Linked DNA regions of Macaca mulatta. The protein of the gene in region 2 purifies or fractionates together with the protein of the main gene of each other region. This does not show direct contact. Links are inferred from orthologs where the notes say so. Each region holds a gene or a part of one and is shown on either strand. Other genes may lie near its edges.

The links.
Region 1: the proteins of FAF2 (region 2) and UBL4A purify together in Homo sapiens (affinity purification with mass spectrometry; 3 studies listed by BioGRID and IntAct, with this or other methods). This does not show direct contact. The link is inferred for Macaca mulatta from reciprocal best matches to the Homo sapiens genes FAF2 and UBL4A.

What each region holds. Positions count from the first base shown.
Region 1 is NC_133426.1:160,668,940-160,673,257, forward strand, and holds the start of UBL4A (ubiquitin-like protein 4A), read right to left. Parts: upstream 2,808-4,318; 5' UTR 2,800-2,807; coding exon 2,752-2,799; intron 2,549-2,751; coding exon 2,443-2,548; intron 2,195-2,442; coding exon 1,986-2,194; intron 1,868-1,985; coding exon 1,757-1,867; 3' UTR 1-1,756. Other genes in the region: SLC10A3 (P3 protein), read right to left, coding at 3,726-4,318. UniProt on the Homo sapiens protein: As part of a cytosolic protein quality control complex, the BAG6/BAT3 complex, maintains misfolded and hydrophobic patches-containing proteins in a soluble state and participates in their proper delivery to the endoplasmic reticulum or alternatively can promote their sorting to the proteasome where they undergo degradation.
Region 2 is NC_133411.1:185,388,156-185,392,454, forward strand, and holds the start of FAF2 (FAS-associated factor 2), read left to right. Parts: upstream 1-1,463; 5' UTR 1,464-1,524; coding exon 1,525-1,587; intron 1,588-4,299. UniProt on the Homo sapiens protein: Plays an important role in endoplasmic reticulum-associated degradation (ERAD) that mediates ubiquitin-dependent degradation of misfolded endoplasmic reticulum proteins.

The DNA.
Region 1 (4,318 bases), on a different chromosome or scaffold from region 2:
GGTGCTACAGAGAAGGTGCTGCTCTGGCAGTGAGGCAGTGAGGGAGGGATTCTGTGGAAGCTGCAGGCAGCCACCTTTTCATCCTTGGAGGTGGTGGCCTGGGATGTGGCAGACACAAACGCAGAGGGAGGCAGGAAGACACTGGAAGAATTGCTCCCCTGCTGCCAATGCCGATACCACTGGGCTTTTCACTTTCATAAGCCAAGAAATTTCCGTTACTGATTAAACAAATTGCCTTTATTGTTAAACCAATGATTGGATATCAGAAACAGCCTAGCTAATATAGCTCCTTTTGGATAAAAGTGGAAGTCTCACATTCACCTTTAATGTTATTTCATTTTCCAAAATCAATTTCCTGGCACCACGCAAACAAGAGCACTGGTAAATGTATCACCTGAGCTGCAGGCCACCCATGCTCACAAGTGTGTCCCTGCCATAGGTGGCTTTGAAGCCATATACATGGCTCTCCAGCTCTCGTGGGGGGCCAGGGGCTTCTGTGTGCTCTTCAAAGCCTTCACCCATTGGGCCTCTGTCCATCTTTCCAGCCCGGGGACCCAATATTTGCCCCATCAGGCCCAGGCAGGAGGGCCTCCAGCACGTGCAGCCCCGACCACACTGTGAGCGGCTCACTTGGCAAGGGTGGAGGGCCCAGAGTGGCGTCCTCCTGCTGTGGCTTCCTTCTAGCCTCTACCACCCCTGGGGGCCTCCAAGGAGCAGGTGGCTAGATGTCCTCTTGTGCCCATGCACAGGGCACAGTGGAGAAGGAACCGGAACCCAGCCCATGTTTCTGTCCCCACCCTGGCACCCCAAGGTTTCCTCTCAGGCAACAAGGAGCACACGAAGTGAGCGGCTGTACACAGGTGGCTGATGTGTTCATCTTCCACAGGGAGGCGAGTGCTGGGGACGAGGACAAAGGCCTATGCCCAGCCCCAGTTCTGACATTGCCTTGCTGAGTCACCCATCAGCCCTAACGCTTCCTGGAGGAGACAAGCAGACAGGGTGCCCAGAGAGGAGCTGTGTCACTAAGGGCCAGGACACCCCATCTCTGGGTCACACTTGGCCACTGCTTCGCTTTTGGCTTCAGTTTGTTTACTGAACAGAAGGGAGGGGGGCACTGTGAGACGAAGGACACTGACTCAGGTCGGGGAGTGGCCCTCACTGTATAAAGTCCGTGGCTGGGGACCAAAGTGGCACTGAGACTCCCCCGAAGTCACATCACAGAGCTGGGGTGACTTGCTGACTCCCTGGCCCCAACCTGCTTTTTCATTTGTCGAAAGCACACTGGCTGCAGCAGCTGCTGGGGGTGTGGTGGTTCCAGGGCTGGCTGTCACTTGGCCTCCTGCAGAGGTAAGCTGAAGGCTATGTTGGACCCGCCAGAGGTCAGGTGACAGCTGCTTTCCCTTTCAGGATTGGGAAGGAGTCACCTGAGGGTATATTCTCAGTGGGCTAAACATGACATGCCAGAGCCCAGCTCTCCAAGCAGCCCCTTCCTCCTTCTCACACCAAGGCACTTTCAGAAGCCGCTGGATTCCGACTGGGGCTCCGCCACTTCACCGCCAGTGCCTCTGCTGTGCTGGCTCACCTCTTCTGAGGGTGTGGAAGCAAACCCAGGTCAAGCTGTGAGGAGTGCCTAGCACGTGGCCAGAGCCAGGTACATGCCAGCTATTATTATGAGCCCAACTGCAACAGGTGAACACACTTAGTGTGACATGCTGCTGTGGCCTGGCACTGGGCACCTCCCCATGCTCCGAGAATGCTATTTGGAGAAGCCTTTCTCCATCGTCTCAGTCACTTCAGGGTGCAGGAAGCGGCTGGCCAACCGTTCGATGTCGTCCAGCGTCAGGCGGCTCAGGGACCTCTCGTAATCCTGGGGAGAGAAGGGCAGGAAGATTCAGGGGCTGCCAGTGGGGAGCCATACACTGCAACAGAGGTAGGGGCTGGGAGGAACTGGGCCTGGAGAGGATACCCAGGGTTACCCTTCTCACCCTCTGTAGCTGTTCCAGGACCCTGCTGGCATCTGCCGCACTGAAGTGGCGGGCCAAGACTTTGGAGATTAGCTGCCAGACATGCGGGGGTGGGGAGTCGGCCAGCCTCTGGGCCTCGCCTTCTTCTAGTAGCACCTTCTGCAGGGGTTTGACCACTAGGTTGAGCTTGGAGTTGGGCCCGATGCTATAATCCGAGAGTCGTTTCCCATCTGCCAAAGACAGATCGATGGGTTCCTCCTCCTCCGCCGCCGTGGGGGTGGCCCGGGACGCGAGACCGCCTCGGGCGGCGGGAGCGGAGCGCTGCGGCATCCGGCAGTGAGGCATGCGGCCGCCTCCCTTGGGGTCATGTGGCGCTTGGCGCCGGCACCCCAACCCGTTACACGGCTGCCGGCCTCGGCCCGCGCACCCCAGTCCCGCTTCCTGCGGGGCTCCCTGGGCGTCTCCTCTCCCTGGGTACCTGCCAGGGCCTTGCCCTTGAAAAGCAGCCGTTGCTGGCGCACGGGGACGTTCAGCTTCTCGGAGACCAGCTGCTTCAGCGTGGACACCAGCTCGTCCTCCGGCACCTGGCCGCGCGGAGGGTGGGAGGCAAGGGTTGAGGCCGCGGTCCCCAGGCGGCGAAGCCCACGCGTCCGCTCCCGAGGGCAGCTCTCCCGGCTCCCAGTCCCCGGCCCGGCCGCCCCGTGCCCGCCCTTGGCCCTGCTGGTCACCCTGCCAGGAGCCGGCGAGAGAGCGCGCCGGACCCGGCCGCCCGGCCCGGGGACCCTACCTGCAGGCTGCACTCCCGGCCCTGCAGCGCCTTCACCGTCAGCTGCATGGCGGTCGCGACGGCGTCCACTCGGGCCGGCGCGCACCCCAACCACCCCCCGCCGCGCGCCGCCGCCCCGGGCGCGCGCTGGAACCGCCCGCCGCCGCCGGAAGCAGCGAGAGGGGCGCGCCCGCCGCCCGCGCTTCCCGGCCCCGCCCTCCTGCCTCGTCCACGCCCCGGCCCCGCCCCCCGGCCCAGTTGCACCCCGGGAGGAGTGCCCCTGGGGTCCCGCCTAGCACACGCGCAGCGACCGCCCTGGCCGGCGGACCCCTCCCAAAGCAACAGCGCCGGGGAGTTGGGAGCAGGAACTAGTCGGGCCAGGTTGGCGTCATCTGGGAGCTAGGGAATGGAGAAGGAAGGACCAGAAGGTACGCTCGCCCCCGCAGACTGCCTGGACCACCCCACGCGCCGTTACTGCTGGCGGAACCTGGCCCTGCATACCCACAGACGGCGCCCCCCCCGCCGGCTCCCTGCCTGGTGGCTTTCTGGCTCCTCCTTTCTGGTCTGGCTGCGAAACACCCCACTGAGCTTGAGAGGGGGTAGGGGGGCCAGCCTCTGCCCTCATCCTCCCACCTCTCCTACAGTGGGGACACGCCCCGGGAGGGCTGATAGAGAAAGCCTATGCAGGGGTCACCGTGTCACCCAAGCTGGCCCTCCACCCTGGTCCACACCTACCCAGCACACTCTTTCTACCCCCACGCCCAGGCCCCAAAGGGCAAAGATTAGAAGGGACCCAAGCTTGCTTCTCTGTTTTATTGAAATATATTTTCTGGGCAGCGCCCACCTACCTAACTCAGCATGGCCTCTGTGGCACTGAAAGCTGGAGAATAAAAAATCAGTAAAAAAAATAAGCCTGGATTTTTCTGAGTGCATAGTGCATGAGAACTTTGGTGGAGTGTGGGGGCTGGGGCTGATGAAAGCTTGACCCAGAGGCCTCAGGAAACTGGGAACAGGCTACTGTAGATGCAGTGGCCAATGACCAAGGCCAGCATCTCGGAGGTGCCGCTCAGCGCCACAATGAAGGGGGCCTGGGAGGCATAGTCAGCTTGAAGGCGGCGGAGGGATAGCTGCAGCATGGCCAAGGCCAGCAGGCTGTTCTGCACCCCTACCTCAATGCTGACCGTCCGCCGCTGGGCCACAGGCAGCTTCAGACATGTGGCCAGGCAGTAGCCCACCAACAGGCCAACCAGGGGCACTGTGATACCCACCAGTACGATAGGTAGCCGGACGCCTGCCAGGATGAAGACCCCCATGCGATAGGCCAGGAAAAGGCCGCCCAGGAGGAGCACAAAGCTGAAGGGCTTGATGACCTGCAGCAGCAGCTGGGAGAACTTGGGGAGCTTGGACTTGATCAGCACGCCCACTGCTATGGGGATGGCGATGAACAGCAGGGTGCCCAGGATTTTGGAGATGGGCACGTGGAGTGTTTCATGGATGCTGAGCAGGTGGCTGTAGATGGCTGAAGACAGAGGCAAGAAACCAGTGGCAGCCACCGTAGAGATGAAAGTCATGGAGATGGCCAGGGTGA
Region 2 (4,299 bases):
CTGGGAAAATTGGCTAGCCATAAGTAGAAAGCTGAAACTGGATCCTTTCCTTACTCCTTATACGAAAATTAATTCAAGATGAATTAGAGACTTAAATGTTAGACCTAATACCATAAAAACCCTAGAAGAAAACCTAGGTAGTACCATTCAGGACATAGGCATGGGCAAAGACTTCATGTCTAAAACACCAAAGCAATGGCAGCAAAAGCCAAAATTGACAAATGGGATCTCATTAAACTAAAGAGCTTCTGCACAGCAAAAGAAATTTCATGTACTCTTCACAGAACCAGCGCTGAAAGCCTTTTCTGTCTCACCAGATCAGCCTTGCAAGGGGATGAGAGTGGGGCGCAGGCGGCTGAGAGCCTTGCTGGGAATCACACAGGTCGTCCGTGGAAAAGCGTGTACCAAGACCCAGGCCTCTCTGGAAGGTGGGCAGAGGAGGCGTTCGGAGGCAGAGGTGGAAATGAGAACAGGAAATCTAAAGAGAGGTGGCGGACGAGAAGGGGCAAAGGACGTGCAGAGGAAGATAGAGATTGAGGGATGGTGATAGGGCAGTGTAAGCAGCAGAAGGGAAGGGCAGGAAACTGCCTCGAAGAGAAGGGGCAGCGGCAGCACGTCAGGGGCTCTTGGTGAATCTCATTCAACAAATGGCAAAATGGAGCCCAAGTGGTTTGCCCAAGGATGTCCAGCACTTGGCAAGGTGGCAGCTAGAACCCGCGTCTCCTAATGGCGGTCCAGGGATCTTTCTTCGCCTGTCACAGGGACAAGGGGCCAGTGCAGCGCTAGTGCGGAGAGACAAGACTCTAGGCACGGAAAAGCAGACGCCGGGCCGGGGCTCCAGCGCTGCAACCACGGCGGTGGACGGAAAGCTCTGCCGACGGCTGGGGGCGCCATGAATCGTCGAGGATCCGGGGAGCCCAGTCCAGCCCTTCCTAGCAAGCGACCGCGAAGCGGCAATGGGACGGTGGTCGAAGCCTGCCCACAGCTTCCGCTTCGAAGGCGGCGTTGGAAATGCCGCGCCAGTATCCTTCGGCACCTCCCGAGAGATGGTCAGGAGCTTTTGGAAACTTTAGGTCAGGGGCCAAAGACCAAAAGGCTGGTATTTCGGAACGGCCACATCTCCTGAGAAACCTCCAAGAATAACAGGTTGCCGGAAAAAGGTTAGAGAGCAGCCGAAATCAGCCGAATGCCATTCGGGGGCTCCGGAGTTTCTCGAGGCACATTCGGGCCCTCTCGGCTCTGCAAGACTCCACTGGAATCTCAGGTCTCGAGCAGATCGTTTCGTCGCCTAAAGGGTAAGGGCGACTTGTACCGACAGTCCCTCGGCAGTTTCCGGAGGTGTTCGGGATAGGCCCGAGCGTGGCGCCCTCTGGCGGCGACCAGGGGTGGGGTAGGGGTTAGTGGGCCAGCGCGCGCAGACGCAGCTGCGCGCCGGCGGTCGTTCAGACCGGATGTGGTTGTGGCTGAGGTCAGTTCCGGCGGGTGACGGTGCGGACGGGTCAGGAGCGTAGAGGCGGCGGCAAAATGGCGGCGCCTGAGGAGCGAGATCTAACCCAGGAGCAGACAGAGAAGCTGCTGCAGTTTCAGGTAGCAGCGAGTACTCGGTGCAGCAAATGCCTCCGCGGGATGGGGAGTGGGCCCCTAGAGGAGTTCAGAACTTTCCTCAGATTGGGCTCAGATTCTTCTTAGACCAGCAGGCCGACCCCCTCCCCCCAGACTCCAACTGCCCTGATTCCCCCGGCCCCCAAGCCTCTGTTGGTCCCTATCCTTCCAGCCATCGCTGCGGCCAGACCCGCCTCGTTTGTGCTTCTGTGCCCTCAGCGTGTCAGCTTCCCTGGTTTCCCTTAGCGGCGTCAGTCCTCAGCCATCCTTCCCAGCCCGGTTATCGGTCGGACCCTCTCCGCCCAACGAGTCTGTATCTGCCGGAGACGCTTAATCCCTACCGCGGAGTTGGCGTCAGTTCGGGTCTCTGACAGAAAAACCTCCTGCCAACATCCCATGCCATTTCCACAAACATTCCCACAAACTGAGGCCTCTTGGATACCAGGTTTCGTGTTGGGGGTTCCGGTCGGGAAGGGGGCACCTACACACAGACCTGGTCCCCGCCCTAGAGGTGTGGGAGGACACCAAGTGAGAAAACAATGCAAGGTGCTAAGTGTCATCAGTGGCTTCTGACGGGATTTATTACTTTTGGCTTATTCCTGGATTCCTGTGCTTCACTATGCTTGAGGAGGGTGGTAACTTGCAGGAATGTTATGTTAATACAGGACGTCGTATTAAGAACGTTTGCCACTAATCACTTACCCTTGAGCTGGAGAATGGTTGGAGGATACCACTAGGGTGGGTAACCTTGGCACTTTGTTACCAGTTTCTTATCTCTGAAGAGACTGTCTTAAAAATATCTACCCCCAAGCCGGCCGCGGTGGCTCACGCCTGTAATTTCTGCACTTTGGGAGGCCAAGGCGGGCGAATCACGAGGTCAGGAGTTCGAGACCAACCTGGCCAATATGGTGAAACCCTGTCTCTACTAAACATACAAAGATTAGCCGAGCATGGTGGTGCACGCCTGTAGTCCCAGGTACTCGGGAGGCTGAAGCAGGAGACTCGCTTGAACCCGGAAGGCGGAGGTTGCAGTGAGCCGAGATCGCACCACTGCACTCTAGCCTGGGCAGCAGCAAGAGTGAAACTCCGTCTCAAAAAAAAAAAAAAAAAAAAATCTACTTCCTGAGGATGTTCTGGAGATCAAATGGACATATGGATGTCAGAAGGGCCTTGTGAACTGTAAAATGCCCCCAAATAGTATTTCTGCTATTAATTTGACTTAGGATAGACCTAACGTTATTGATACACTTATTTCCTTATATAAAATGTGTAAATATTCATTTATTCAGCTATATTTATGAAGAACCTTAGTGCTCAGCGCTGCTAGGTGGAATCCCACTTACTATTTCAGATGTAAGTACTTTGTAAACTTAGTGTACATAACCTCATTTAATACAACAACCCTATGAGGTTCATACTGTTACAGTCGCTGATTTACAGATGAAGGGTATCAGGACCAAGAAATAAAATGCTTAGGTTACACAGCTAGAAAGTGATGATGTCAGATTTAAAGCTATGTCCATCTTCCAGAACCCTTCCCAGGCTTCTGACTTCTGTCTTGTACAACTTATATGTCAGTGTACAGTTGAGTGTGGAATGCAGATGCTGAGATAATAAATATTTTTTTGGCGAGTTCTCACTTTTCTGCAATTTCCTTGAATAGACTTCACTATAATAAATTTTGAAGTGGTTATTTTTTCCCCTCTTAAATTGAGCAGTGGGTTGGAAGTGTATAAATGGAAAAATGCTGTCGTAGATGTAATTGACATTTGATTGGAATTTTTGGTAGAGAAATTGAATTGATGACCCAGCAAATTATAATTAAAGAATGAGTAAACAGCAGACAACCAGCTTACACTTCCATTACACTTCCAGGTAGACCACCAATTTCAGAGTGTTGTTTAACTTTGGCAGACCATTTTACCCCCTAGAACTCTTCAGGGGTAAGCTAACATGTTGTTTAAGTGCAATGAAGCAATGTGAGTTATGGTATCTTTAGTCTCATACTGGGAGAGCATGAATATGAATATATGATAGCATTTCTGAAGTAAAGTGCATAGGAACTTCCATCTTATCTTCTGTGGAGTTTTTTTTTTTTTTTTTTGAAATGGGGTTTCGCTCTTGTTGCCCAGGCTGGAGTGCAGTGGCGCGATCTCGGCTCACTTCAACCCATGCCTTCCGGTTTCAAGCCATTCTCCCGCCTCAGCCTCCCGAATAGCTGGGACTACAGGCATGTGCCACCACACCCAGCTAACTTTTTGTATTTTTAGTAGAGACGGGGTTTCACTATATTGGCCAGGATGGTCTCGATTTCTTGACCTCATGATCCACCCGCCTTGGCTGGGATTACAGGCGTGAGCCACTGCGCCGGGCCAGAACTGTGGAGATTTTTATTAGAAGAGAGGTGGGTAGCAGGTTTGAGCTGTATTAAGATTGCCTTATGAAACTGGATTTATTGAGGGAAATGCATCTTTTTTTTTTCCATTCTATAAGCAATCGCTGGATCAGATTCATTATCCAAATTGCCATTAAACCAACATTTGTTGAAACTCACTAGATGCCAAGCATTATACCAAGCATCAGTTGATGTTCATTAACTCTTTTTTTAAGAAAAATATTTTAGGCTGTGTGCGGTGGCTCACGCCTGTAATCCCAGCACTTTGGGAGGCCGAGGCGGGTGGATCACCTGAGGTCAGG